Linked DNA regions of Drosophila melanogaster. The protein of the gene in region 3 interacts with the protein of the main gene of each other region in a pairwise test. Each region holds a gene or a part of one and is shown on either strand. Other genes may lie near its edges.

What was found.
Region 1: the proteins of CG10353 (region 3) and ringer interact in a two-hybrid assay, tested with the Drosophila melanogaster proteins (one large-scale study listed by BioGRID).
Region 2: the proteins of CG10353 (region 3) and Prdm13 interact in a two-hybrid assay, tested with the Drosophila melanogaster proteins (one large-scale study listed by BioGRID).
Region 4: the proteins of CG10353 (region 3) and CG32100 interact in a two-hybrid assay, tested with the Drosophila melanogaster proteins (one large-scale study listed by BioGRID).

The regions. Positions count from the first base shown.
Region 1 is NT_037436.4:16,352,986-16,362,792, reverse strand, and holds ringer (ringmaker), read left to right. Parts: upstream 1-3,364; 5' UTR 3,365-3,494; intron 3,495-6,344; exon of another isoform or gene 6,345-6,488; intron 6,489-6,601; exon of another isoform or gene 6,602-6,702; intron 6,703-6,756; 5' UTR 6,757-6,763; coding exon 6,764-7,159; intron 7,160-7,425; coding exon 7,426-7,608; 3' UTR 7,609-8,047; downstream 8,048-9,807. Other genes in the region: Cpr72Ea (cuticular protein 72Ea), read right to left, coding at 1-143; Pdh (photoreceptor dehydrogenase), read left to right, coding at 8,512-8,655, 8,712-9,113, 9,178-9,468; Tcs3 (Threonyl-carbamoyl synthesis 3), read right to left, coding at 9,580-9,807.
Region 2 is NT_037436.4:6,159,863-6,166,763, forward strand, and holds Prdm13 (PR/SET domain 13), read left to right. Parts: upstream 1-3,264; 5' UTR 3,265-3,294; coding exon 3,295-3,823; intron 3,824-3,951; coding exon 3,952-4,820; downstream 4,821-6,901. Other genes in the region: Cpr65Az (cuticular protein 65Az), read left to right, coding at 952-1,341, 1,398-1,727.
Region 3 is NC_004354.4:11,883,183-11,890,927, reverse strand, and holds the start of CG10353 (uncharacterized protein), read left to right. Parts: upstream 1-3,765; 5' UTR 3,766-3,972; intron 3,973-5,644; exon of another isoform or gene 5,645-5,646; 5' UTR 5,647-6,117; coding exon 6,118-6,130; intron 6,131-6,344; exon of another isoform or gene 6,345-6,605; intron 6,606-7,306; coding exon 7,307-7,745. Other genes in the region: CG1840 (uncharacterized protein), read right to left, coding at 1,960-2,212, 2,272-2,356, 2,414-2,432.
Region 4 is NT_037436.4:12,264,250-12,271,652, forward strand, and holds CG32100 (uncharacterized protein), read left to right. Parts: upstream 1-3,278; 5' UTR 3,279-3,380; coding exon 3,381-3,401; intron 3,402-3,508; coding exon 3,509-4,951; 3' UTR 4,952-5,554; downstream 5,555-7,403. Other genes in the region: Pbgs (porphobilinogen synthase), read right to left, coding at 6,043-7,026.

The DNA.
Region 1 (9,807 bases), on a different chromosome or scaffold from region 3:
TGACCCAACTCATCCTTGGCGATATACTGGCGCTGGGTGGGCGTGAACACGGCGGATCCCTCGGCAGTGTACGCATAGGGATAGTACAAGGCCAGTCCGTGGGCCAAGCTGAGGCTTCCTAACAGCAGAAGTGGATACTTCATGGTTGGGCAGTGGAAGATTGCTTCGAGTGAGTCTTGTTCGTCAGTTCACTGGTAACTGTTGATTCTGAGCCTAGGTCTTCATCCTTTTATACCCAGCAGGTTCTTTCGCGAGTTCTAGGTTCTGGTTCTGGCTGAGGTTCCTGCCGGTCAGATGCTTCTATTCTGATACACTGCGAAAAAATTCTAAAAGTATGCCATATTATTATCTAAGAGAGTATACAAATGTTTTATGCTCTTTTACCCTAATATAGTAACGTGATTTTTATGACTTAAATTAAATCCAAAAATAAGTAGTTCGTAATTTGTTTAATAATGATTTGTACAAAGCTTAAAACATAAATTTAAATGCATATAAATAATAATATTGCTAAAAAAGACTGTTCTTAAATTCCTGAAATTTTAATTTTATGATTATGACAATCATTAAAAAAATATTTTATTATTGATAAAAAAGGTGGTTTATTGTACTTAAATAGAATTCATCAAATTTGTACAAGCACACGTATTTCATTAAAGAATAACCTAATAGTAATAATATCTGTCACATTTTAAAATAGTAAACAGCCAATTAATTTTTTCTCCAAATGTATCCATCAGATGCACTTCAATGCAAACGAGGAGATGCGAATGCGTCGTCGTGTCCACTTGTGTCGTTAACGGACATTGCAGCTCCGCCTTTCACTCCCCTTTTGGGGATCGACGCCTCGTGAAGGCGTTGTCAATTTGGTTTAATTGTGGCCAAGGCTGGAGTGGGCCCAAATGAGGGAGGCAGACCCTGGTTCTCCGCAGCGGGAGGAGCAATCGCTGCCTGGCATCTCCATCTGCATCTGCATCTGGATCTGCAAGCGAGCCAAGGGCCTTGGCTGGGTGGACCATCAAGGCCAAAGACCGCATCCAGACCAGCGTGTAATTGATATGCAATCGTTGTTGCTGCCACAGCATTGTGGCATCTCAGCCTCCTTTTTGTTCGCACACTGCAACGGGGCCACGACAACAACAGCAACTTCAACTGCAACAGCAAATGCAACAACTGTGGCAACAACCGACGACGACAACAACGGCATCTCAAGGTGAGTGAAGGCCAAGGGCCACATTTGGCCACAGCTTGGACACGGGAGTCATGCACTCCAGTGGCGAACAAAATGGGGGTCTTAGGGGGGTCATAAGTACCCTTAAAAATTATAATACTTGGTTAGATACATATGTATGTACATAAGAAATATATGTTTTATGCGAAGAGCTTACAAATATGACACAGAAAAGGGTTAATTAAATCGTTAAGTCCGCTAAATAAATAATATAATGTGAATTTTTAGACACCTTATAGTATACACTGAAGATATATACTTATTTCAACCGGACACTAAGAAAACCCCCTAAGAATATGTTTCCCATCCGCCTCTGATGCACTGCAGCTGCATTGGTATCTCCTGTTCCTCCTTCGCTGGTCATTTTTATTTTTAGCAGCGGGCTTATCGGATGCCTCAGATCTCTGGTGCTTAAACTTCGCTCCCGATTAGGAGGAGGAGGAGGAGCAACTGCAAGAACCACATTGGATTGGCCTTGACGGCTCGGCTGATAAGTGCGTTTTAATGTTAGCCCCGTTGGCACTCAGTTTCAATCAAAGCCCAATTCTCTACAACCATTCCAGCCTGGCTTAATGAGCTGGTTAGTTCTGGCCTGGAATTGAAGTTGGATTGGCAATATAGTCCGGTCCACTTGGTTCACTCCCTTTGTTCTGTCTCGAGTGGACTGTGCCCTGATTTGTGTACCACCATTGGTTCTTTGAACTGCCTTCGTGGCTAATTAAAGGTGCACTTAAGATAGGCCAGGTGGCAAGAATCATGTTTTTCATTTTTCAGGACTGGGAGTACTTTGATTTTATGTCCTAGAAAAAAAGAGCAAACGAATCAGTCTAAAAGGTATTTCAGCTGTAAAACATTCCATAAATATAGGAAATTTAACTCTTTCTAATTTTAATTAAAGAATATTCTAAACGTCATCTGGTCAATAAACTAAATGAATATTGTAGAATGAAATATTTAAATTACATATCAAACATTGTATATTAAATAATAATAATCAATGGACCTCTGTTTGTAATACCTAATGCTTAATTTACGAAATTAATTAGAAGTCTCCTCAGGGTATTTCGTTTTCCAAGTTAGTCTTTCAGTTGCTTTGTATTTTGGTTTTGGGCCAGGGCTATGACTTCATCGAGTTGGCCACAAAAACTTACCAAATTCTTCCGACCGTCAGTTCTCATAAATCAATGTCAAAGGTTTTTTTTTCGTTCGTTTAGGGTTTGTTTTGGGTTTAGGACGGGCTTGTTGTTTCAGTATGTGTTTAATCATTTTATGGAGTGCGAAGTAATTTCCTTATGATTTCCTATTTGACTTTTACTTTTTCCTGAATGTCCAAAATAGAAAAGTTCAAAGAACCCATTTACCTAGTAAGGCGGTCGACAAATCTTAACCGCTTGAAATAAGTACTCATTTGCATAGCTAAGCATGAGCTCACTGGTTAGTATAGCCCAAGTCACACCCCAAAAACACGTCTAAGTAAGCCCAAAAGATACACCCTTCATTATTCGAATTGTCTGGCACTTGTTGTGTGTGTTTTTTGCCCAACAATTTCACGCATCGTTTTTTGTTTTTTTGCGCTTAAACAAATTTACTGACTACAAACTCACTGTTTTAGTAGCTCAGACTGTGTGGCGAACCCCTCCCCTTCTCTTTAGACAATATAAAATCAGGAAAAGCTTTAAGCTTTATTCCCTAGAATTTCACTCACAACAAACCAAAATTTTGAGTGTAACTTGTTGGTTTGATAAGATTCTGGTGTGTAGCGTCACTTTTGTTATTCTGAGTTGTTTTTAGGTCTCGTTTGTTTCTTTTTCTTTCTGATAAATGGCTTCGTCGTGTGGCTTTCGTTGTTAGTTTTCGTGTATAAAATTTTGCGAAATGAAGTCATCGCTTGAAAAAAAATTGGGGGGTCAGTAAAAGTGTCTATAAGATCCAAATCGTTTTCCTTATCTCATTCAGAAAGTTTTGGAATTTATGTTAGCTCACCAACGATTTGCCATCTTTTCTTTGGATAAAATGCTAAGGAGGATTTTCCTTTTTGAGTTTCTATTTCACTCAGCGAAAGCTCACTCAAAACAAAAATATCACTCATACGCCGCTTGGGCCTTCGCTAGCCACTGGCTGCGCATTTGTCCAAACAGTTGAGTTTCGACATCGCCAGCATTCGCGCGTTTGCCTTAAAGTGATTGGAAAATAGCCGAGGAATAAAACAAATATTTTTTTGGAAATATATTCAAGAATTTTTGGAACTTTTTTAATAACAAATGTAAGTTGGAAACGTTTCGAGAAAAATAATCTAGTTCGTTGGATTTATTTTTTTTTTTAAAATGTTACTGTATCCTGCATCTATAAGCAGACTCCGAGCCAAGGATATTTTTTTTATTCATTTTATGAGTAGCAGGTTCATATTTTCAAGAGCAGATTTTGACCCACTTACCGCGCATCGCGTTCCCCTTTTCTTTTGTTCCTGGGGAGCACCATTGTTTTCGATTTCCTTTGGGAGGTCCTGATTTAGGCGCATTTTCCCCGCTTCCGTGTGTATATATGCGTGCATTTGAATCATCAGTCTGAAATTCCAGTACCGAGACCCCCCAGGAAACCCCTTCTCCAAACTGGCGCTTGCGCGTTTCCCAGCTCCCAGTGATGTCATCTGGGCTAGTGGTGATGTAGCTACACATTTCATACACATATTATGTCCCGAGCATAAGTCCCCCTCCTAAGTCAATGATTTCTCTATTGCGTTGCGTGCTCTATCAGAATGCCCATGACTTCCTGTTTTGTTCCCCCCAAAATAAAAGTTCTCTTTAATTTATGCATTCAGTCCGAGGTGCTAATATTTCTGTGTGTTTATTAACACACGTAAACTCATATGTGGTGCAGTATTTCATGTTTCTCCCCCCAAAGTCGTTTGTTTTATAAATATACATCGAGATGACCCAAATTTCGCTTCCTCCATTCGCTTTCCAGCGGTCCACTTGAGGTAGGTTGGGTTTATAATTGCGTTCCCCTCTCCAGGAAGTCCATTCTTTTCGAAAATGGCTATCTATAATATTCATTCATATTCCTATTCAAATTGTGGTCATATGTCATATATATTGCCCAATTAACTTTTACCATTTTGGTAGAAAACTAATTAAAATGTTGGCAACGAATTCGCAATGCTCGACTGGAGCTGGATGAGAACTTGTTCTCCAAATCGAAAATACAGAGAAAGAATCCAAAACAGAGATGGGAAATGAGAAGAATCGAATTATTTATGGTCTGACAAGCAAGCGGATTATTTCTGATTTAGACTATCCACGCTCCCCATCAGACTGCCTGATTTTCTGCCATTCATTTCACGAGGGGTATCTGCACTTTGAGTTGCCAAAGAATATTAAGAAAATAATTTATTTTGTGTGAATATAGTATCCAAGTCTGATCAGGGTATCATAGGATGAGTCTTTCCATTGTCGATTGCGATGATTTAATACTTCCGCTTTTTAAATTGATTACGATCATCTTAAACTGTTAGTATTTCCCTCGAATAATTATAATATTTAGATTTTTGTAAAACCTTTCAGAAAATTATTAGCAATCGGGCTTCTATTAAAAATCAAACTAATAACGTCAATCTTAGTGTAGAAAATTGGATCTAACAATCCGAACTATTTGCATTGGCTGATGGTAGTTAAAAAAGATTGATTTTACTAATATTACAAAATGAATTCTATTGTGAAAAAAAGCATTTTGAAAGCCACCATAGATAACCTAAAGATATTTCTTATTAGTTTTGATTTTACAGGTAATTTCCTAGTCGATAGCCTCTTGTTTTTTGCCATCTTAAAACTCTTCTTGCATATTCCAACTTCTTTTGTGGTGTAGTTTGTCAACTTTTCTTGTTTCCGAGTATTTATGGCTTCCAATTACATGTAGGGGCGGAGTAAAGGGTTCCATTAGTCTTGTCCGGGAACTGGGACCGGATAATTTGTATCGTCTTGAGCGGAGTTCAAGTTCAATGGCCCTGGTCTTGAGACCAATAAGATGATTAATGACCGGCAGACTTGCTATGCATGCAATGTTCCCAATTAACCACTCAGTTTACATAGATCATTTCGATGGATTATCTGGGGAATATGGGCTATTAAATTGCCTCACCCCAGAGCTATTCAAAGCTGATCCCAGAACAGCGTAATCAAGAGCCGGCGTAATGAGGCGATGACATAAGCACTCATTTTTCGATTTGGATTGCGAATGGGGCTAGGGGGTGGTAAAATAGTATTTGACATGCTCGACGGGCTGCATCAAGGTCATGGTGATTCTACCCCGCCCGTCCACTTCGATTTCGATTCGCATCTGTGCGGGCACAAGCCGTGGCATCATATCTCACGGATAGAGGACTCCAAACTGGTTGCAGTCGCATCTTATCGCCGCATTAAATGCTTGCCCAAACGGCTTCCATCTCTCCTGGGGCTCCAACTTGCAACCTTAAGTGGTGCGTAATTAATGGCTCCGCCAATAAATGCTCACGTTTTATTTACTGTTTATGGAATGATGGGGATGGGTCTGAGGATTCGACTTCGTGTTGGGTAGCCTGTAAACAAGAGGACAATTTATGCTACAAGCAATTTTAAAACTAAATTATCATCCAAATTTATGCCACGTTCGGTGGGTAACAAATTAAGCGAGGAATTTCTGGCGATGCGTAAAATATTTATTGCTCTTTTTGTTATTTTAATAAGCGTAAAAGTGATTCATTTTAATAATTTTAGGGTATATCTATAACTGTATAGCTGTACCGTAAATACCTAATATCGCCTTAGGATTATTAAAACCCATGATAACTGCATGCTAGAGACTAATCATAAAAGATCTAGCAAGCTAGCGCTAAGTTCTGACCCCCATAGAGTAACCCATGTGAGCCAAACCTGTTGACTATTTGTTTTGTGTATTTGGGTTTGCCAAAAGGCGATAATTAGCTGCGTTGGGAGATGGGGGACCCAAACCGATGACGCCATCTAATGATTGAGTCTCTCCCAATTTGCCTTTAGATTTCCATCTCTCGAAATCTAGCTGAGAGAGCTTTGGCCTAGCTTTGGGTGGGTATAGCTTTGCCTTTGTCCAGTTCAGCATGGGTTGTGATATCATTGCGAAAGCGAAGTGAGTAAAGTACTGATAAGGTGTTCGCAAAGATACGTCTGGGAATAGCACCTACATATGTAGATAGTTGACAGTGACGGACAAGACCCACCGCAATGTTGGTGAGCGTTGTGGCCCACAGGTGAGGAACTGCGTAGGTGACAACCGTAGTCAACCGATTACGCAGGAGCGGAAAAGTTGCGTGTTGGAAGAAACCACTACAAAATGTTAAACAAAACAATGACCTATCAGGCTAGGCATATTATTAATAATAAATGATCCTCAGTCCATCTGTAAAATTGAAGGTTCTTTGTCCGTAGTTGTTTATTTATTACTGGGCATCTATTAAAACACCTGTAGGGTTCAGTAAAGGTTAAAAAAATATATATAATATTAAATATATTTTTCAGATCCACCATGTCCGAGGTAGCTGCAGCAAATGGAAGCCCCTCCCCAGCGCCAACTCCTGAGGTGCCCGCTACCGAGTTGGCCCAATTGGCGCTGGAGGATGAGCCCAAGGTTAGCTTTTCGGATCAGTTCAAGGCCTTCTCCAAGTTCGGGGACTCCAAGTCCGATGGCAAGCTGATAACGCTGTCGCAGAGTGACAAGTGGATGAAACAGGCCAAAGTTATCGACAAGAAGATCACCACCACGGATACAGGCATCCACTTCAAGAAGTTCAAGGCCATGAAGATCTCGCTCAGCGACTACAACAAATTCCTGGACGATCTGGCCAAGACGAAAAAGGTGGAGCTGTCGGAGATCAAGCAAAAGTTGGCCAGTTGTGGAGCTCCAGGAGTTGTGTCCGTTTCGGTGGGTTTGATAAATTGGTTGTGAAAAATATGATCTATATAAGTCAAATGATTAAGATTGATTTTAAAGTGTAAAGAACTTCGAGAAGACCATTTAGATATGACAAAATTTAAATGATTTTTTTTTGACTCATTTAAACTATCAATTGTTAAAGTAGTTTTCTTACAGAAGTTCTTAAAAAATATCTTTTTAAACCTTTGAAAGTCATAACCATATACTTTATGCCTTTATTGAAAACCTAATCAACATTTTGTTACCATTTTTAGGCTGGAAAAGCCGCAGCTGCCGTGGATCGATTGACGGATACGAGCAAGTACACCGGTTCCCACAAGGAGCGTTTCGATGCCTCCGGAAAGGGCAAGGGTATCGCGGGCAGACGGAACGTGGTCGATGGATCCGGATATGTGAGTGGCTACCAGCACAAGGACACCTACGACAATGCCCACTAGATGGGGTAACCACCGTTTTTCACCCTCTCATAAATCTGTATTTCTAACTTTTGTGTTTCCCTAGTTAATGTCTCCCAATCTAATTTATCTTTGTGTATATAATAAGTTTGTGATAATTTAAGTGCTTACAAATAAACTTATATTTTTGATTATAATTTTTGAGTTCCTTTACTTTGTTTATCCTTCTTTGTCCTTTGATACGTAAAATTTTGAAGCGGCCCAAAAAGAGTTCAAAAGTAAATCCAAATCAAATTTATATACATTTCATGGCAATCAAACCCATGTTTGGTAGTCTTAAGATAACAGATAAACTTTTAATATTACAATTTGTGAAAGAAATTTAAATATCACATATGGAAACCAAAGATATACGACATACATATGTAGATATATGTTATGTTTTCACAAGAATTTTGCTTGAATAAATACACTTTAAAATATTTGCATTGCTAAAATTTGTATTGGGAGGAAATACAATTTAAAAAACCAAAATTTTAAAGCAATTAAGATGGTTTTGTAAATCGAAATATACATTTAATTGTAAGATCTTTGAAAAATGCCCAACATGTGTACCTTCTTAAAAGCAAAGATTTCACTGGAAGATAGTTATTAAGAGATCATTGCTTTATCTACACAATGACATTATCACTGATGCAAAGCTGACATCGAAAAACCGGAGCGGTGTGAAGCAGACTGAACGCTACAGCGACCAGATGGGGATGGAAATTGATATATGGGCATAAGTTGCATAATCCTAACCCAGAGCAGGTGGAAAACTAGCTATTGATTGCAGTCGAACCAAAGTCACTCAACGATATATCATATAGCCCTTGGGAAATAGGTATAAAAGCGGCGAACATTACAGCTCCAAGTCAGCAGTGCAACTGAGGAGCTCAGTGCTTGATGAAGCCACAAGGAATACCACCGACTACTACACGAATCAGCCAGACCAAGATGTCCTTTCGCGGCAAGAATGCAGTGGTGACCGGTGGAGCTGGAGGCATTGGACTGCAGGTGTCCAAGCAGCTCCTGGCCGCTGGAGCAGCGGTTGGTTGTTTTACACATAATTACGTGAAGTAATTTCTAAAGCGAGTGCTTCCTAGAAGGTGGCCATCATTGATTTGCAGGATAATCTGGAGGAGTTTGTAAAACTTAGGGCCGCTCATCCCACCCAAAGCGTAATGATCATCAAGATGGATGTGGCGAACAAGAAGGGTGTGGAAGCCACCTATGAGGAGATAGCCAAGACCTTCGGTAACATCGATATTGTGGTCAATGTAGCCGGGATTTTTAACGACAAGGATGTGCAGAGGACTCTGTTGGTAAATCTCGGTGGAATCATCAATTCCACACTGAGTGCATTGCCCTACATGGGCAAGGATAATGGCGGCAAGGGTGGCATTGTGGTTAACATGAGCTCGGTGGTGGGTCTGGATCCAATGTTCATCATTCCCGTTTACGGAGCCACCAAGGCTGGCATCATCAACTTCACCCGGTGCTTGGCGGTAACAAGAATTTCTTACATATCTTTTGAATTAGGTTTTTCATTTAAGTCTCTTTCTTAATTAGAACGAAAAGTACTATCAACGCTCGGGCATCAAGTTTGTGACTGTTTGTCCTGGAGCTACAATGACGGACATGTTCACCAACTTTACGGAGAAGATCATCTTCCCGGAAACGAGTGACGAGACCTATAGGATCCTGGATAGGCTAAACAAGCAGAGTGCCGCTGATGTCTCTCGATGCATTCTGAATGTCCTGGAGAAGGACAAGAACGGAGCTGTCTATGTCATCGAGGGTAAGCGCGTTTACCCTTTGGAAATTAAGCCCCAGTGGACGGGCAAGGAACAGGCCCTTTAAGTGGGTTAATTCGTTCACATCCTAAACACATGCATTTTACAAATATGAAGTTATTATGGACACTAGTTATTTAATAAACAAACGATGCACAGAAATAAGTTCTTGTGGTGATTAGTCATCCCGCCAGCTGACCAGCACTTCGTCCGTTCGAAATCGCTGAGTCACATAAGATTCCTCAAAGGGCATCCTAGTGCCAGAGCGGAACATTTCTGCACCAGCATGGGCAATCATTAGTCCGTTGTCTATGCAGTAACGTTCATCAGTGGCAAAGAGTTTGCCTCCGCGTTCCTCGCACATAATACGCATCATCTCCTGGAGTCGCTCATTGCAACCCACACC
Region 2 (6,901 bases), on a different chromosome or scaffold from region 3:
CCGCAACAAGGAGCACAGTGGTACCATTTTTGAAAAGTATAATTGATAAAAAAAATTGAAAAGCATTAAAGAAATATTTATTGTTAATAACAAATTACAAAATTTGGCATTACAGCTGTGAGAAGCATTAAGGCTTATATAGACAAATAAGAATAATAAGAAAAAATGTTTTAACTTTGATTAGAAAATATGTTGAGTTACAAGATAAAATTGCTATGTCTGTTATGTTATATTATATATCCAACAATGAAATATAAGTAAGTCAGTTTATGTTAATCAGTTATGTTAAGGTAAGTTTATTTTTATTCTGATAACTCATTCATTAATCATTCCCACTTTATATTAACCTAGCGCCACTGTGCACTAGCTGGCAAAAAGTTAATAGACGATTGACTAAAGCCGACATCCCTGCCGTTCGGTTTCAGTGGGGTGTTGTACTCGAAGGTCCTGATTCCTGAGCGCTGAGTCCTGAGTCCAGGTCTTAGCACCCCTTGGCAACAGGCAAAGTGCATTAGACAAGGGATCCTGCGGGGTTGGGTTCGGTTTTTTGAGCTGAGATGAGTTGGGCATGCAGGTGTTGCCCGATCCTGTTGAAAATTGCTTTTGAATTAAAAGTTTTTGCTTGTGGCCGGGCGGGTTTTGTTGTTTTTAGCGATTAGCTGAAGGGGTGAAGGCTGCGGGATTTGGAAATCGAGATTGCACACTCAATTTATTAGCGCTTTGTCAGTCTCTCAACTAATCGGATGGCTCTGGGGATTTCTGCACTTGCACTTGCTGTGGCCCAGTTCTTTGGTTCTGTTTTCGTTTTCATTGTGTTTTCAATTCCAATCGGAAGCCGTGGCACGTGACTGCTCCACTGGGGTCATTGGGGTGGCGGTCGAAGAACCACCTGTGGCTGCTCATATAAAACCACAGAGTGCCGTTGACCAGCAGTCCACATTTGAAATCGAGATGAGGCTGACCACATTGTTTTCCCTGATTTGCATCGCCATTGGCTACGTTCGGTCCCAACCGGCGGGCTATCCGAGTGCCCGTCCTCCGGCCACTTATCTGCCAGTCAAGCCACCAGCTCCACCGCCTCGACCCCCTCCTCCGGCTCCGGCCAACAGCTATGGTCCTCCCAAGAAGGGAAATGGAAAGCCACCGCCTGCTCCACCCAAACCCAGCTATGGGCCACCACCCAAAAATGGCAATGGAAAACCCCCGCCCAGTAACGCATACTTGCCACCAGGCAATGGCAATGGAGGATCTTCGGGAGGCGGAGGAGCAGGCGGCGGTGGTGGTGAGGATATACCCATCATTAAGCTGGAGTCCAAGGTCAACACCGATGGTTCTTATATGGTGAGTAAGCTATATAATTAAATATTTAATTATAATTTAAATAATCTATATGGCAGTACGAGTACGAGACTGGAAACGGAATTAAGGCGGAGGAGATGGGCTACTTGAAGAACGCCGGAGTGGAAGGGGCGGAGGCACAGACGGCGGAGGGTTCCTTTTCGTACACCAGTCCCGAGGGCCAGGAAATTTCACTGACCTACATTGCGGACGAAAACGGATTCCAGCCGCAGGGCGATCACCTGCCCACACCGCCACCCATTCCCATCGAGATTCAGGAAGCGTTGGATAAGCTGGCCGCCGGAGGTGGATGCCATGGATGCGATGACAACGAGACGGGAGGCAACGATGATGGCGGTGGAGGTGGCTATGTCTACCGACGAAAGTAAAATATTTGAACCATCTTTAAGAAAACTCTTGATCTCAAAATAATATTCATCTTTGTATTGCAATGCTAAAAACTCGATGGTGATGGATCACATTTATGCACTAAAATATTAAGTTACAAATGAGAAAACCATTTTATCGCAATTTTAACTGCAATCCATTTGTAAAGCAATTGCCAATTAAAATGCTTTAAATGAAAACCCCATGGCGGCCTACTTACTGAGGACTAGCAAACACCAAGCCAAGATTTGGTCCTGGCCGGGTACACCTTACATTTGGCTGGGATGGCATGTCCTCTTTGGCCGCCAATACCCATCCAACCCTCTGGACCAGGAGCGGCGGCTGTGTGACTGGCAACACATGTTTTTTTCCCCTGTTCTGCGAATCGCTAGCCCAAGTTTATCCTGTTGATCGCTCGACGAGGGGATTGTGTCGCAATAATGAAAACATTAGCCTCGTAGCATATTTGTCAGCCGACAGGAGCGGAGCTGCATTAAATGAGGGTTACGGAAATACGGAAAAGGGGCGCTAGAAAAAACCAACTGAAGCACCACTTTAATAGTGAAATGTCTTTAATAAATATTATAATAAATAGAAATTAATCAAATAATATATGATGACTTGTTAAATTAAATTTAATTTTTTCTATACAACTTAAGCTTAATTATAAATGAAAATTAAAATGTAGTACCATTTTTATGTTTCCTTTCATAGAAAATTTATTTCAAACATAGTTTAACTTTCAAAGTTTTTACTTTAATTTCTTTCAAAAGTTACTAAATATTTCCAACTATTTTTATTGCTTCGTACCATCGATTAACACCAATGAATCCCCTAGACTCGCGAAATCCGCACCACTGGCCGACGAAGCAACCGTCGAGCCCAGAAATCACGACCCACCCCAAACCGCAAATAGTGAAACGATACACGCCAATATATTATGGCATTAGCATTATAGTGGTGGGATGCGGGGCGGGGTGGTCGTCCTGGGGGTGGGAGGAACCATGTGCCGAATGACATTGACGATGGCGAATGCGATTTGTATATGGTGGCATTATAGCAACAACAACGGGGGAAGTAACAACAAACGATCGTTTAATTTCAATTAAAAACATTTTCCTTGTGCGTAGCCCAAAAGCCAAAAAAAGAAAGGACTCGTCGACGGGTGAGGATGTGGGAGGGGGTATTTTTCGGGCACAGGAATACGCACACTTGCTACAGGCCGCTTAGCTTGGCTTAGTGCTCTGGTGATTGCGAGGACATGATGTTGCACTTGCCGAGCAACCACCAGGACGCACCAGGAACTCGAAAAGGGATGCCAAATGAGCCAGGGGGTTGAGCCGGCAAAGTGCGTAGCTATGTCGAGGCTATAGCCGGTGCCGGACTGGATTCTGGGCTGGGAATTCTTGCACTTGCCGCCAGCCGTGCCATTGTGACACTGCAAGGCCGTGGCAAATCCAAATCCGAAAAATAAGGGAGCAGGATGCGGATTGGGATGCGGATGCGTCGTGGTATAAAAACGCCGGTTCGCTTCCAATTGGAACGCAGAATCGAATTCGAACGCGAACGATGCACACGACAGCTCAACTGGATAGTCTGGAGCAGAAGCGCTCGGCCAGCCTGATCTTCCGAATTGAGCAACTCCTGCCGAGCACCAGTATCACACCGACCAGCATGACCACTTCATCGACAGAAACCACATTGACGGCCACCACGAGCACCGCAAGTCCGGCCAAGCGGATGAGGATGAGCAATCCACGACCAGGTGTTTACGCCTCGCAGTACACGCCCAAGGATACCTGCTCCATGGCCATTCCCACGTCGGCTCTCCTGGGATCTACGGTCATGCCCACGGATGGCAGCCGCTCCCACTGCCAGCTGTCCAATGGCGAACTAATCGTATCCGGTTCACTGTTGCGGCAGATCAAACTCTCCGAGGATGTGTATAGCTTCAATGCCATCTTCGAACTGCATGGTGGACAAGTGCGCGTCCGTTTGGTCAGGGATGTAGCCCGGGAGGACGAGATCGTGGCCTGGTTCGGTGAGGAGTTGGTTCTCCTTATGGGCATTCCCTTCCTGACGCCCCTAAACATTCAAGGTAAATATCATCTAAATAATTTGTGTTATTATTAGTAATACATTAAATAATTCGAATAAATAATTTATATAATATAAATCATAATTGATCGTATCAATATTAACCCCAATTTTTACATTTAATTGCAGGAAATAGTCGCTACATGTGTCACCTCTGCCACTTGACCTTCGAGACACCCCACCCGCTGAAGATCCATTTGGCTCTGGGTTGTGGTCGCAGTGCCATGGACATCCTTTGGATGCGACTTCACTACGCGCTGAAGGCGGCAGCAAGAAGTCACACAGAAACCCAGCACTCACCCATTCCGGCGACCTCGTCCACGTCTTCGGCCTCGCCCACCCACTCGCCACCGCCGCAGATGCCACCACGGTTCTCCGCCTTCCGTCCCATTGCAGCACTTACCCAGAGTTTGCCCATGGTACCCGTAACCACAGCAGCAACGCCTCTATCCTACCTGCCCTCCATGTCGATGGCCACTGCACCGTTGTCGACGAATCCAATGAATGCAGCTGCCCAGATCGAGGCCATAGTCAGCAATATGGGTGCCTCCAAGCAGGGTCATCTGTGCATCTACTGCGGCAAGGTGTACTCCCGGAAATATGGCCTGAAGATCCACATACGCACCCACACCGGATTCAAGCCGCTGAAGTGCAAGTTCTGCCTGAGACCTTTTGGCGATCCCAGCAATCTCAACAAGCATGTGAGGCTGCATCTGCAGACGCATCCGAGTAGTTCCGCGGGAGTCGCCGATGGTGGAGCAAGTGGTGCCGACATGGACGGCGATGTGGACATCGAAGGGGAGACGGATGCTGACTACCAGTGCCACGTGTGCCATAAATCCTTTCCACGACGCAGGGATCTACAGCGACACATGGAGACCCGGCATGGTGGACACCATTCCCATTCCCATTCCGAGTCCCGGTCCAGCTCCACCAGCACCTCCAGTACAACCACAATGACCGCAACGGTGACCACATCTACTTCGAAATCCAGCTAGCTACTGGGCAAAATTTTCGTAGCACGCTTTTTGGGGAACAGCTGTGATATATTGTAGAAATAAAATTTTAAAATGAAATAAAAAAATTAAAAATTACTATTTCAATAAACCAATGTACAAATGAAATAAACTGTATACATTTTTAGAAAATCCCAACATTTGAATTTTAAATATAATATAAATAACCACGAAATTAGACGCCCGAAGTAAGAATCAAATAGTATCGCTTTATTGATAAATTTCAATACGAATTCAAAGTGAATTTCTATCGTATAATGCACAAATCTTATTGTTAGACAATTAATGCTATTACTCGTACAGTTTACGTTTCCGTTTCCGCTCTCTGCGGCTTAATCCATATTCGTGTAAACTCGCTTAACTTTAGGGTACATGCAAAACAATCACAAATTGTCTTCAACTTGGGCAAAGCGGGTGTACGAGTGTGTGTATTCCATGTTTATATTATTTTCTCTCAGTGTACGCGTTTGTGTGTGTGTGTGTGTGTTTGTGTGTGCGTTGAGCAAAACGTTGACGGGCCATAAACACTCACAATTACATGATTTGAATTCACAATTAATCGTACAATTACTTCAAATGCGACGGTATAGTAGTATAGATCGGAGCATAGAGTTAACTATTCTGTTTGCTTGATTTCTGGAACTACATTTAGTTGGTTGCCGGGGGGCTAACGCTTAGTAGAGTTTTAAACAAAGGTCTGTCTCTCTTTCTCCCCAAAACAAGTGTACTGAAAACAATCGATTTACTTTTGGATCTGATTTCGTAGTCCTCAAAACCCACCCACTCTTCATTTCTACGAATATCTTTCTGTCAGTTTAAGGCACTTACTCAAGAAATCGCGATTCCAGAGCGTCCTTTTGTGGTTAGTGATTCGCTTTAAAGTATTACCTCGGAGTTTCGACCAAAACAATGTGGCAAGCTAATTGGCGAGTATGTGTGTGGGTGTCCTTCTGTATGTGTGATCATTTGTGGGTGTGCAGTAGGGTGGACCAGCTGGTGCAAACTAACCATCAAAAACATATTGCCACATAAACTTTATTATTCGCAAAGTATTTGGCCAAAACTAAGTTATACAAGTACAAAAAGTCACCATTTAATATTTTTAAAGCTCTCTTCAATGGTTTTTCTTTAAAAATAATGTAGTGTCAATACCATACAAAATGTGTAAATATATAAACGTACATATTTAGCTTCTCTTATATTTGGCTAATAGTGGTCAAATTGGAAATGTTTCAATTTTAGTACAAAGCACAAATTCCACTAATTTTAGGGCTACGTAAAGTAGGTGAGATTTCGCATAAATTACTCATACGCCACCTAAGTGCGCTCTTGCAACACGGCGTATGAGTGATGTACATTGAAACCATATCGTACTGAGAGTGCAAGCCTTAAATTATAAATAGAACTATGGTCCACCCTAGTGTGCAGCTATCACCTTGAGCACTTAACGTATTTTATATATGTATATGCTCTTTAGCAAGTATGACAAATATGTGTGTTTCGGATATTTCACGATACGTTTCGCAGTTCTCAAAAGTCTGTACTCGGCTTACATATATAAGGTAATATATAGTATAGTTCGTTAATCTATATGTGTATATGCATAGACACCAATAGTTGTTAATCGTTAAGAGTAATATGCAAATTCTGTATGTAGCTTTTCTTTTGCTTGGTTTAGTTAGGAATATGTATACGCGTATTGTTGTAAATATCTAACATAAATTCATACATGAAGCACACTTGGGTTCGGTTTTCATTAACTATTTGCTAATGTGGTTAGTAATTCGTTCAAAGATTTGCATTTAACAAAATATCCATTATGTTAACAATTTGATTTTTTAATTTTTTTTTTCGATTTTTTCGTTTTATTATTAATGGTTTTCTATTTTCAAATATATATATTTACTGTACGAAGTTGAAGTTGTTAATTTCTTAATCTTTGTTGTATTACAGTTGCTTCTTCCTCGTTGTTGTTCCCGCTGGTTCTTTATTAAAGAGTTAGAGAATTAGACCTTCGATTGATTATATGGAATTATTCCTTTCTATATCCGTTTCTTTTGGTT
Region 3 (7,745 bases):
AAAATATTCGGTATTTTGATCAAAACATTGAAAATAATGACTCAAATATGGAATGTCATACCTCGTTGAGTTTGTTTTTTAAATCCCAATCGATTTGCATTCAAGTTTGGGAATTCTAGAATTTTTCATTTTTTTGCAAATTTTGATGATGGTACCCCTTACAAAAAATGCGAAAATTTGTCCAAAAATTAATTTTACAAAATCCGTTTTAAAGTGATAGGGGTTGTTAGTATTGGTCATAAGGAGTATAAAATGGTAATTATTTTTGCTCTGTGACCATTTTTAGACAAGTTATAGCCAAAAGAGCCAACTTGAAAATTGAGTTTTTTGCCAAAAGTAGTTCCCAGATTTTTTGTGAAAAAAATATTCGGTATTTTGATCAAAACATTGAAAATAATGACTCAAATATGGAATGTCATACCTCGTTGAGTTTGTTTTTTAAATCCCAATCGATTTGCATTCAAGTTTGGGAATTCTAGGATTTTTCATTTTTTTGCAAATTTTGATGATGTTACCCCTTACAAAAAATGTGAAAATTTGGCCAAAAATTAATTTTACAAAATCCGTTTTAAAGTGATAGGGGTTGTTAGTATTGGTCATAAGGAGTATAAAATGGTAATTCTTTTTGCTCTGTGACCATTTTTAGACAAGTTATAGCCAAAAAAGCCAACTTGAAAATTGAGTTTTTTGCCAAAAGTAGTTTCCAGATTTTTTGTGAAAAAAATATTCGGTATTTTGATCAAAACATTGAAAATAATGACTCAAATATGGAAAGTCATACCTCGTTGAGTTTGTTTTTTAAATCCCAATCGATTTGCATTCAAGTTTGGGAATTCTAGAATTTTTCATTTTTTTGCAAATTTTGATGATGGTACCCCTTACAAAAAATGCGAAAATTTGTCCAAAAATTAATTTTACAAAATCCGTTTTAAAGTGATAGGGGTTGTTAGTATTGGTCATAAGGAGTATAAAATGGTAATTATTTTTGCTCTGTGACCATTTTTAGACAAGTTATAGCCAAAAGAGCCAACTTGAAAATTGAGTTTTTTGCCAAAAGTAGTTCCCAGATTTTTTGTGAAAAAAATATTCGGTATTTTGATCAAAACATTGAAAATAATGACTCAAATATGGAATGTCATACCTCGTTGAGTTTGTTTTTTAAATCCCAATCGATTTGCATTCAAGTTTGGGAATTCTAGGATTTTTCATTTTTTTGCAAATTTTGATGATGTTACCCCTTACAAAAAATGTGAAAATTTGGCCAAAAATTAATTTTACAAAATCCGTTTTAAAGTGATAGGGGTTGTTAGTATTGGTCATAAGGAGTATAAAATGGTAATTCTTTTTGCTCTGTGACCATTTTTAGACAAGTTATAGCCAAAAAAGCCAACTTGAAAATTGAGTTTTTTGCCAAAAGTAGTTTCCAGATTTTTTGTGAAAAAAATATTCGGTATTTTGATCAAAACATTGAAAATAATGACTCAAATATGGAATGTCATACATCGTTGAGTTTGTTTTTTAAATTCCAATCGATTTGCATTCAAGTTTGGGAATTCTAGGATTTTTCATTTTTTTGCAAATTTTGATGATGGTACCCCTTACAAAAAATGCGAAAATTTTGGCCAAAAATTAATTTTACAAAATCAATTGAAAAGTGAAAGGGGTGGTTAATTATTGAAAATAGAAATAGAGAAATTGTTGCAAAAATAAGTCAAAAGCATCTGAAAGTACGATTCATTGTAAGTTCGGATATTAAAAAGTTTATTGTTTGTATGATTGTATGTATGTATTGTATTGCATTGTATGTATGATTGCATATTTTGAATTTTCTCAATTAATCAAAATCATTATGACTAAAACATAGCTTTAATATAAACGGTAAACAAAAACCTATCTATTTTAATTGCCGCATCACAGAGGTGAGTTGGATTATTTATTGGAGCATTTTGGTTAAGCAGCTCAGCCGCAGCATCCTCCGGCATTGCAGGATTGGGAGGGGGGCGGAATGCGCCCAATTCGTCGATTAGGCCTTAATCCACCTCCGCGATAACCGCTACCGCCTCCGCCTCCGCCACCGCCTCCGCCGCCACCGCCTCCGCCGCCACCACCACCGCCCCCTCCGCCCCAGCTACTACTTCCCCATCCATTTCCTCGACGGGAGTTATCTCCGTTGCTATCATTTCCAGTGAATGGAGACAGGAACGATGCAAGCCTGAAAGGAGGGATATGGGTTAAGGAATCCTAAGCTCTTAACACCCATTTAGCACTCACAACTGTTTGACGGCGAACCATATACCCACGAATGTGTCCAAAACTCGTCTCAAGTCCCATGGACGTTTCTCCCACAGACGACCATCTGCAAAACGAAGGGCTTAGCATTCTGGAGATCATATGCTCATTCACTTGCACTTACTTTGATCGACGTACGCCATTTTAAAGCTAAATTAGCATGCAATATCTTTTGTTTCTTTCAAATATTTCCAGATCTGGGCCGAAGCTGAATATTTTGATTTGTTTGTGTATAAAAAAAAAAATTGACGTGGTGTTTAGAGATGGACAAGCAAAGCAGCTGATGATACAACAAATATCGCATAGCCTACGCTGATGTCGATAGTCTCATATGTTGAAATAAATACATTTTTGAATTTAAAAAACATTTTTTATGAACTCATTAAAACAGAGCTTTTGCAAAAGTTATGGTTGGTATTTATTTATGTATTTCACCAGAATAACTATGTATTCCTATTTGGGTACTGTGACTTCGAATTTGCAATTGTAAATTAACGAATATAAACCCGCAGACCGATAGAAAAAAACCTGTAGCTATGTATTGGAGCTAATAGTTGATAAATGGAACCGACGACGGCCACGAAGCAGCGACCCAGGAATCAGTGGTTAATCGTAATCAGCAATTGCCCGCTCGAGTTCGAGTTTAAGACAACTGCGTCATAAGCGCCACATGGGCGGGATAAACCGTGATATCTGGGTCATTCAGGGTGCTGCTATACACGACCAGCCTTCTGTCGGCGCGACATCCTCCCAAGAGTCTTGGGAACCGGATGTCGCTACTATCCTCATCCGCCTCCAGCGGGCATATTGCAGCTCATAGTCGGCTGAATGCGGCCGATCCGGCGGTTTGGTCTTAGTCCACCTGATCCTGATCCAGGTCTTCCTCCTCCACCGCCGCCACCACCTCCGCCGCCGCCGCCCCATCCTCCACCGCCACCCCATCCATTTCCGCGACGCGGATTGGCCTGGTTATTGTTGCCCGTAAAGGGAGCAAGGAATGTTAGGAATCTGTGGGGGAAATCATACAGCATTAGCTATTTGGCACGACGTGCAGTCTAGTGGTAGACTTACAGCTGCTTAATGGCAAACCATATCCCGACAAATAGCTCCACAATCCGTCGCCAGTCCCACGGACGCTTCTCCCACACGCGCCCATCTGTGGAATTAGGCCAATGCGAAATGTGATGGAAATTCAAGGGTGTACCCAAGTCAATTGCACTCACTATGGTCGATGTACACCATGGCGCCACGCTATCCTCAGGGAAGCTCCAGCCACCCTCGATTTATTGCACAGTTTTACGGAGATATGTTTCTTACGGGTGTTTTAGGTTCAACAAATATCTCAACATGCTACTAGAGATGGACCAGCTGCAATGTCAAGTCATTGGTATTGTTCACCATAAGCATGTACCTATCGATAGATAATTTGGTGTTGGTAAACGCAAAGCGAATAACCCAATCAACAGCTGATTGAATAATGTAATGCATCTGGCAACACTGGCCTCGGACGGTTCGCTTGTGGCGTTTAAGTAAATTTATTAAAAACAAGCCTCGCTGGCGGTCTCCTTAATAATTGTTGTCGGCAGTGCGAATCGAGTGGAGTGCGCGGGAGGCGGGATTGGAGGGGCAGTGGGTATGTCAACTACAGTGAACACCAGCTAAAGTCAACGACAACAAATCCAGGTGAGAGACCAGAAAAGATATATGGGTTTGGAATTATCACGTTGGCAGGGCATAGCCAGCTATACTAACAGCTTGTTCCTAACCAAAATCTCGATATTCCATAGCTATAGTATTTCAATGGTCCACCGGCGGCAGGCCTTCCGTTTATTTTCGGCCACTGCAGTTTGCTAAAAATAGAAATGTCCACATAGACAGAATTGAAGGTGTAGTGCATCATCATCATCATCAGAAAGGCCACCACCACCATCATCATCGTCATCATCACCATCGTCATCCGGTATTCAGAATTTTTGGGAATAGATGTTCTTTCAACCGATTCGCGTGTCTTGGACTAGTTCCTCCCACCTTTATTTTATGGGTGTTTCATTATACACATGCCAAAACTGGTTTCGTTCCTACAGAGAGAATTCTATACGAGCATTCGGTTCGCACTTTGGTTTGTCAACAATCTGCGGGAGCAACTTGACCTTTACCTTTGCCGCCAACATGTTAACCCGTTCTCCCCCGTCAAACATGCGTCTGCCACCCAGGGATTGTCTGTATTCCGTCAAGGTTAATGCTTCTGGCAGGTCTCCCTCGGATTTTGGCATTCCCCCTGCACTACACTTTTCCAGAAAACTGTAGAATCATTATCAGCTTGAATTTGGTTGGAAGAACTTTCTGTAGGAAGAGTCATAAATCCATATCCAAATTGCCCGTTTCTCGACTTTTATATATTTTATATAAAAATCCTGTCGTTGTTAGCATATTCAAACCAGACGGGTCAACTACTTGACATCAATCAGAATCGATATGGTCGTTTTTTTTTTATAAGCAATCAATGGCAATGCATTATGTTAAAACAAATGTAGTTCTTTTGAAAAATACACAAATGTTTACCAACCGCGTTAGTTAGATTAGAAATGTAGTGGGTGCCCATTTTCTAAATTCTCAACTTTTAATGAACCATAAATTAGCATTAAAATAAGCACCACCTATTAAAGTCGTACGATTATCAGTTTTCTGGTTGTAAAATTGTGGAAAATGAGGAAAAAAAAAAGTGTTCACCATTGCATTAAAAGCTGTATATACATATATGGCAGAATAGTAGCATTACACATGAGAAATTGAATCTAAACCACAATCGACTATTCGGATTTATTTACTTTTTAAGATGAGCAAAAAAAAAAAAGTTGTTCTCTCGTGAAATATTGGACGCAAATGTAGGTTTTTTCTGTATTAATGTTTATATGAATACAGTGGGATTATATACATATGTAGGCCATAAACAACAGATATGCAGCTATAATATTCTTAATATTCTTAAATATTTCATATAAATATCATGTGGAACAAGACCATTTTTGGAGATACTGAAACCAAAGTATGTAGAACTGCAAGATCCCCTAACTGAATAATTGATTAAACTCAAGTTATTCTTTTTTACTTTTCTGATATGTATATTCTTGGGGGGCATAGACTTAATGGCACCCATTTTCAACCGATTTCCGGCCACTGTGCGACGTCACTTCTAGCTGCACGCCTATTTGGGCAATCAGTTTATTGTGGCGGTCGGCGATTTGTGAGGTTGGTTGGTTAGCTGCCTGGCTGGCTGGCTGGCTGGCTAGCTGGCAAACCCGAACCGAATTTGTGTATATTTCTGCCTCTATTATTCTTTTCGTACTCTGTTTTCAGTAATCGCCAAACACTCGCGTTGTACGCACATTTCTTTCCCACTGGCTCAACATTTATTTTTCCCTCTGACATCATTCGCGGGTGAATCTCTCCGAGTGTTTCGCTTTCGCTTTTGGTTTCAATTTGTTGCTTAGAAATTTCCAGTTTTTCGTTTTTCGTTTTTTTTTTCCTGTGGAGCCACGAGCTTATTCGCTGCATCAATTGCTCTTCTTCCACTGCCGGCAGTCCGAGAATCGTAATGCGTGGAAGTCGGTGCCGCTGCGCAGCCGCCGAGAAAGTGCCGAAAGATTCAGGATTCAAGAGGGAGTCGCTCGTGACGTGGGATCAGAAGGAGCAGAAGGCTCAGCAGGATCAGCTGGATCAGCTGGATCGCTGGTAACAGACCGCTGGAGGGATCAGCGATCGATCGACTTCCCCCACAAAACAGACTGCCGCCAAGACATTCACCTTGCTCTTCCTTAGCCACCAATCATGTATTCGGCGGGTAAATAAGTTAACTGAGTAAACCACCATTCGAAAATCGCACCCGTTGTCATGCAAATTTATTTGGTTGTTCTGCTATTTATGTACACACTTAATATATATGTCGGATCGTTCAACTTGTTTCATTTCGTTCGCATAATATTGATCTTTGGAGCGTTTGTCATTGTTTAGTTCTTGTTTCGAGCTTGATTTCGTTCCGTTTGTCCCTTTTTTAGTTTGGAATTAGAATTGGGTTGGGGATTTCCTGCGCCGGAAACTGATCATCATCATCAGCAGCAGTGGCCACCCCAACCATCTGTGTATCCATGTGTATCCAACCCTCGATCCATTCACATTCATCGAAGTTCTCACACGCACTCTGCCATGGACATGGAAACGCACTTGTGGGCCACTTATGTAATTGACCGCATTTAAATGAGTCAGGCGGCGGCGGTATCAGCGACAGCTGGAGCCCGATAAGTTGGCTTCCAAATTGGGTACGCCTGAAAGGCCATCAAATTCCATCATCACCATTATCATGGCCACAGACTCACTATCGGGATTTTCGGGGCTTATCAGTAATTAATATTAGCGGGTCGGATATTTTGATTATTCTCAATTAATAACATTGAGGAAATACTCTATTTATTGAATTTATTTAACTTATTTTGTTGGCACTTGTAAGTGATCTTGTAAAAATGTAGTCTTATTCATTGAAATATTATTTGCTCCTCATATTTTGATGACGCTACAAGCTAAATATGTCGCTCTTTTCTAACTAATTATTAATTTATTAAAGTTGCTATTATGTCATGTTACCTAATTGGATGTTCGTTCTAGAGGGGATTGGGTCAAGCACTTTCGTTTTTTACCAGTTCAAAGTAATTTTATAGAATGATCTTTTAGATTGCTAAATCAGAACTATCAGCTATTTAAACTAAAATAACATCAGGAGATCATATTTCATACCGTATTTTTGCAAAACATTATTGTTGTTACTATTCTTGATTAAAAAGCTTATAAATTAAATGCAATTGTGCACTATTTTGTGTAATTGAAATGTGGCAATGTAACAACTAACTCATCAGCACCACCGCCTCACCTCTCAACTCAACTTAACTCAACTCATCTCATCTGAATCTCATCTACTTGTATTGCGAGTGCCAGTACTTCCGACTAATCTCAAACTTCGTTGCAGTCCGCACCAACGACTACGACTATCCCGAATCTGAAATGGACGAGCGGGAGAGTCTGTACTTCGACACCATATCGCTGGCGGAATCGGAGGCGGCGGCTGCTGCGGCGGCGCATCGCAAGTCGATCTCGCAGTCGCGCAACACCATCTACCACTCGGCGGTCGATCTGGCGGGCGATGAGGGAGGCGGAGGAAGCGGTGGAGGAAGGCTGCGTCTGGGCGGCGGAGCAGCCGCCGAGCACGCAGCGCTTGCCTGGCAGCCTGGATACCGTCAGTCCACAGCACTGGAGCACCTCAATGGCGGCGGTGGTGGTGGTGGTGATCACACGGATGCCGCTATCGCCGCCCAAATGATTGCCCTGCAAAACGGACGAAACCACCTGCCCACCGGGATCGGTGTGACCGGAGATGGAGGACAAGGAGGTGGTGACGATGAGGTCTC
Region 4 (7,403 bases), on a different chromosome or scaffold from region 3:
TATAAAAATTAGCCTATTGATATTACCAGGCAAATAATTGCGTAGTTCATTTGATGTATTTGCTTTAGTTAGTATGTAGAAAATGTTTAGCGTCTCCATTCAAGTTGCTTTGTGTGTGTACTTAGCCCACTTGTATTGAACTTACTCATCGCACAATGTCGACAATATCGCAAGTATTTCACACAATTTCACACGATTCGCAGACAGATAGTGGTATAGTGGTAAATATACAAATATAGAGGGAGTTACGAGTAACTCTCAATGGGGCAGCAAATACAAGTGGGAGGCATTTCGAAATACTCCAAAATAAGTGGGGCCAGGGTCAGGGGTGTAGTATGTAATATATATATATATATCTGAATAAAACTCACCTCGCTGCAGATTGTGTACTTAATTTAGGCGATGAGTTGCCAGCAGCAGAAACAGAAACATTGACCTCGGAACACTTTTCGACATTCGCCTTCGATGATGATTAAGTACTCGAATGCTTTTCGATTACACGCGTTAATTTCACGAAAATATAGTTTAATGGACTTCTTTTTACAGATTTTCGGTTAAAATAGTTGTGGATTATACAGTTTTTAAAATAATATACAGTAGATATTGGTTTGTCTTCATTTGGTTGTCGAGTTTACTTTGTAGTTAAGGTGTTATAACTGTGCTGTTTTCAATGTTGGAATATTTAATATTTTCAATGCTAGTTTTATATTTAATTAATAAGTCAATTTTGCGGATATTTGCTGTACATTAAAATATACATATTTCATATTTATATATTACATGTTTACTTGCGCATTTTATTGCTTTCCCTAAACAGGTAAAAATTCCAGGAAAATAAACAATTTTTGGTGGCTCAGTTGTGGATGTTTATAGACTTGATTTCAATAATCGCATATTTACACTTCTGAATTTTCGTTTCTGATAAATATTTACGCGATATCTTGAAATCGCCGAAAGTGTAACAACATTTCGACGACCTACAAATCCGGGTGAAATAAAAATGATTCAATTTAGTGGGTTAGTCGCAGCGACTAAATGAAAAGCACCCCGCGATTGAGGTGTAAAATGAGGTAATTTCGAATTTAAAAACCCGGAGACCAGGTAAAAAAAAGTAAAAAAAAAAAAAAAACAAAACAAAACAGGTTTTTAGCGATGATAACAAGATGGAACTAAAAAAAAGGGGAGAGAAAAGGGAAAAACCGGAAAGCTAGACGCGATAAAAAAAATGCTAGTCAAGAAAGCGAAAAGCAGCAACTAACTGTATTCCTATAGAGCATATTTTTAAGGAAATCAACCCAAGCACATGTGGTTTTAAAGGCGACAAACAAACAAACATACGTACACAACCACATGCATCATCTGTTTGTAAAATATTCAATGGAATCCAGTCACGACCCGCCGACGCAAAGACAATTTGCAAAGACAGTCTCGCAATCGCAAAGGCAGAACGACGGCAAATGCAGCGGAAACACAATCGAAAGAGCAATAAAAACTATGCCGACACAAAACCAATTAAATATAGTTGCAGTTAATTAATTATAAACCGTTTGGCGAAACGAAAATAAAACACTGGTGGGCATTATTGATATTTTTAAATTTTTTGGCGTCACTGACACAATTCGCGCTCTCTCGCTCTCTTTTATTTGCCTTTTCTTTTGTTGCTTTGCATGTGTGTTGTGTTTCCCTTGATTTTTTTTTATTGTTTTGTCTTGTTTGTTGCTTCTTTTTATGCTTCTCTCTCTTTGGCAGGAAGAACGAGAAACAAACTCAAAATTCTCTGAATATTTCTTTCATTCGGATTTTTTGTGCTGAGCTGCTGAGCAAAGAAAAAACAACAACAACAAACGCCAACGCGCCTTCTCACACAAGCACAATCAGACTCGCACACACATGCACAGTTCAAATTAGTTGGGGCAACAACAATAAGCGATGACTATTGTTATTTAAACACGGCTGCTTTTTTCTCTCTGCTCATCGCTGCAAAAGCCACGCGACAATTGTTATGTTTCAACTGCATTTGGGGAAATAATACTTTAAGAACGGTACATAAAAAAACATTTAAATCAGCACAGTTTCGCGAAGCAAAGGCAATTACAAAACCAAACACTTGAGGGCGCCGCGACGTGTGGAAAAGAGACGGCAGAGCCAAAGACAAAGACAGCTGAGAAATACGTGGAAGCGGTGATTTTCGATTTGTTTTGCTTTTGCTTTTGAACGTCAATTCTTCAATCTATATTTTTACACACAACAATATTTTAAAAACGTTTATATTAATAGTTGTTTTTGAACACATTTAGCGCCAAAATCTCTTCATATTTTCCCGGCGATTTATCGGATTTACCGATGTATTTTCAACACAAGTGCGAATCTTTTATTTTTTTTATAGGATAACCAAAATAATTTACCAATGTTTTTCGTCTTTAAATATTTGAACTTTTAGGGAAACAGCGTGCGCATTCAGCGCTCTCCCGAATTTAATTGAAATGCGCGCCTCCGGTGCGAAAATTGGAGTGAACCCGACGCAAAGTTGAAATGAAAACAAACTGACGACGGTGTGTCCGAATTTCGGGTGTGTTAAAACACTTCTGCAATGCTAACAGAGCTCTGTAATGTGGATTGTTCTACTGTTGCCATACGGTCACACACTTTTAAGCCGCTCAAGTGCTTGTGACACCACTACATTTGATATATAAATTAATATGCTTCTAAAGAGCTTAATTAATCATAAACTAGTTCATCTCTGGAATTTTGTGCTTATTGTTTGCCCTAACAATTCAGACTTTTGAAATCTTAAAACCCAATTCCTTCCATTGTACTGGACTCCACAATGTAGTGTCGTAGCGGTATAAGTATGATCTCTCTGTTAAGCGCAGCAACAAGGTGGCAGCGCTTGCACTTCCGCTAACGTTAAAAGTTTGAACAACCCGGCAAAATATTTTAAATAATTTAAATAAATAAATAATAATTAAATAATTTAATAAATAAAACACAAAGCCTTTCATCAATTTTAAAGAGCTGCCTATATTATTTTGCTAGATTTTGCTTGTGCTTTTGTAGTAAAACAGAAAGATCGTTAATGAGGAATATGAAAGTGTTTTTACTAAATACAACTTTACCAGAATCTTTGGCATAAAGCCAAAATAATACTTAATATGAAATATGTTCTTATCAAACTTGCAAATTCAATTTTCCCGCCAAATGTAAAGTGTGACCAGTTACAAGTACCAGTCCTTGTGAGCCTCTGGTTTTTTATTAGCTAAAAGCGGCGGGCACTCCGCAACTCAGCTGATCGATCAAACAAAAAATATTGATACACAGGAATTTATGAAAAAAAATGCGCAGCGTTTAGAAAGGAGAAAGTATTTAGTAGCACGCACGAAATGGACAAGAATCTGGATGAGGTTTGTGTTTGTACTCTCCTTTTTTTATATTCAGCCCCCTAAAACCGAATGGACTGTGTGTTTTGACTGCTGTTTACTGATACACGCCCCAATTTTTCATCGCCCAGGTCAAAGACACCGTACAAAAGAAGTTCAATGAAATCCGTGCTGCGTTGCATATGCGCGAGAAGTTGCTGCTCCGGCAACTGGAGGTCATAGCGAACACGCGACAGCAGCAGCAGCTGCTGAAGAAGTCGCCCACCGAAATGGAGAACTCGAACTCGGTTGGCAAGAAAGATCAAAGTGGTGTGCGTTTCATTCCCGGGGAAAGCGAGGATGCGGAGGAGAAACTACTGACAGCCATCCGAAGCTACGGACACTTTCTGCTGGACAACAGTGATATGCAGTTGGCGCTGCAGGATTACCGCACCACGGGTTTGAGGAACGAGGACTACATAGAGCCACTAGATGACCACGAGACCATGTACAAGTGCCTGCAGGATGGGCAAGTATCGTATCTCGATCTGGACGAAGACGGTGCCCCACCAGAGGCCATTGTGGTCGACTTCTCTCGCAACAGAAGTCTCGTCGAAGATAATGCCAAGCGCTCCATTATCAACATTACACTGCAGGAGGCAAAGGATCTGATAAAAAAGGCCAAGATCAAGAGGGATACATATGTGCCGCCCTTAAACTTGGAGGAGCTGGATGACGAGTTGGAATCTTCGATTGCCGAAGCCGTTTCCAGCTTGGGGCGAGAAACCTCTGCCAAATCAAAGAGCAGCGTACAAGAACCACCGAAATGCAAGGGTCGCAAACAGCGCTTCAAGCCAAAAATCACAATCAACAATTGCAATGGCACGATCAATCTGCGCAACATAGCCAGCCTGACCATCAACTGCGCCAGCGAAGAGGCGGTGAGTGCAGAGATGCCCCTGGCCAAGTCCGCCGATTCCAGTACCACCGAACCCTCGAACTCCACGCCCACCACCACCGCCTCCAGTTCCAATTACTCCAGTAATGCCAGCTCCCGTTCGCAGTCCAAAAAGCAAAAGGCGAACAAAAAGCTGGACAAGATAGAGCGTGAACCCAGCTCGGATTCCACTCCTACGCCTGGACAGGCCCAGCGGTACGAGGAGACCGAGATTCACGATGTCACCTGCGATTTTTACAATCGCCTACTCAACGAGATCAAGAAGAGCATGGTAGAGAAGCCACGCAGGACATACAACCAGTTGGCAGAGCCCGTTCAAACATCGGCTGCCGATTCCAGTTGCGATGCCAACTGCAATCCAAAGCAGTCGGCTGCCAAACAGGAGCCAGTTTCGACCACCACATCGCTAACGCACAGCGAATCGGGACCACAATTGCAGCCGGGCAAGCGGCTAATCCTTAAGAACTTCGAGAATCTCAAGATCATCCTCGAGGCAAACAGCGGTGATGAAGACTCATTCCATCCCGTCCAAATCGAGCAGTGGCTGGCAGAGATTATCTCCGAAACGGATCTGGAGCCCATGCAGAACACGGATATCCTGGAGCACAGTCGCATCCACAGCAGCGAGAGTCCCTAGAGCTGCGGACTCGCTGAATTCCGAACTATTTATATCGTTAGTGCACTCAGTATTTTCTGTTTGTTATGATTAGCTATAGATTCCTTAATTTGTTTTTAGTTTAAATTCTAATTTTAATTAGTTTTGATTTCGTGCAGACACTTGCAAATGTTTTTTATATCCAATTTAAACTGAAATTGGCCGCACTGGAGCTTAGGAAATTTTTAATCGAAATCGCTGAAGTTTATACATTTGTGTATAAATATATTAATATTTAGTATACGGCATAAAAGTGAAAGTTTTAGAAATGTAACCATATACTTTTATTTATCAGATAATGTTTTTTAAGAACTAATAGTACCCAAACCTTATTGCTCAATCAACTTTCACCAGAAACCAGAGCCGGATCCAATTGTTTATGTACTTAATGCATTTGATTTTGTGATTTTAATCTTTTCGTAAGACTCGAAACTGGTACCAATTTAGCAAGTAAGCTCCAGCCAGTGTTCAATGCTCACCGTAGCCCATTTGTAAATGCAATCGAGAGAATTCCACATTAAAGTGTTAATTGCCATCACAAAATGAAACATCTATTCGATTTCTTGCTACTGGATCGACCGGTTCGGTTCGTTTCGTTCGCTTGAATTTCGCCATGCAATTGAAATTCGAAATGTACCCTGGGCCATTAGACTTCCAAATCGGGACAATAGATAAGACCATCGAAATATACATTCTAGTTTGGGTGTGCATGTGAGCGAGGCACTCCAAAAGCATTAGTAATGTTGATTCGAGACTAGAGTGGACTTCTTTTATTGAATACACATCTTAATGTATTAGAATAACTTCTATATTGATGTAAGTAAAAGCCTTTGAGTCTTATTTAAGCCACTTAATCGGTAAAATGAATATGCTGGTCCCTGAATATTTATTCTTTTGCTTATTAAAGTATAAAATATGGAGAGCTCCGTATAAATAATTAGAAAATCCTACAAAAATTGCACTATCTGTTACAAAAAGTTCCATTTTCCATTAATGATTTTAAGAGGTCCACTCTAATCTACGCATGTACATATGAACATGGTATCAAGACATCGGACATGGAACGTAGACCATTACTTGACCTTTCCGATAATGTCCAGCAGAAAGGGTGTGTAGTAGGTGATGATGCAATCGGCACCAGCTCGTCGAAAGCCCTTCATGGCCTCCAGCACGGCATCCTTGAGGTCAAAGGCTCCCGCCTTGGCGGCATGATACAGCATAGCGAACTCCCCGGAAACCTGGTAGACGTACAGCGTGTGATACGGATAGGAATCCTTTGTGGATCGTAGGATATCCAGATAGGGCATTCCCGGTTTCACCATCAGCATGTCGGCTCCCTCGGCGACATCACGTTGAATGGCTCTCATTGCTAAGCTTCTGGAGCCACTGGGCAGTTGATAGCACCTCCGGTCACCGAATTTCGGTGCAGATTGTGCTGCCTCCCGGAAGGGTCCATAGAAATTGGATGTGAACTTGGCGGAGTACGCCAGCAGGGATACACTGTTCATCTGGGCATCGATGAGGGCCTGCTTAATGGCCTTCACCCGGTTGTCCATCATGTCCGATGGAGCCACAATGTGTGCTCCAGCTTTGGCATAAGCCACGGCGATCTCGGCTATCCGCTTTATGCTGGGTCCGTTCTCCAGACCCGTTTCGCCCAGCAGGCCGCAGTGACCGTGCGAGGAGTACGGGCAGATGCACACATCACAGGCTATCAGCAGATCCGGAAACCATTCCCGGAGCTTCGGCAGTGCGAGAACGACTGGATTCTTTGCTGAATCCGCATTGGAGGCCTGCTCATCCTTCATGTCCGGGTCCACAACGCCAAAGAGCAGCACCGACGACAGTCCCTTGGCCACCAGCGGTTCCAGGTGCTCCTTCAGGCGATTCAGTCCGAATCTCGAGATTCCTGGCATGCTGGCAATTGGCTGGACATCGTCGTCGTTGCTCACGATGAACACCGGATACATGAGATTGTGCGGCGCTATCTCGCAGCCCGACTCCTGCAGCTGCCGCAGCGTGGCATGGTGCATTCCACTGTGCAGTTTCCGCTCCATTTTGTTCGCTTAGCTCCCGGTGAAAATTAAAACCAACGTAACAACAAGTGAAATTAACGTTCAACTGCCCGCGGGCATATTTAGTGCGTGCTCTATTGCACGGTTGTCCAACACTGTCATGAAAAGATTAGGGTGGCTCACGATAAAATAAAATAATTAAATTTAAAAACTTATATAAATAATTAAGATAAAATTTTATTTATATTAAGAATTTCATAGCGATAAATCCCTTAATTAATTTTTTATCCATATTGATTAAGGATAGGTCAACACTGCGTATGCGTAGTATTACTTGAATATTGCTATTGAATTTGTAATTTATTGAATTCCAGGATTTATTATTAAAATACCCGGTAAAATAAAAGAAAACCACACTG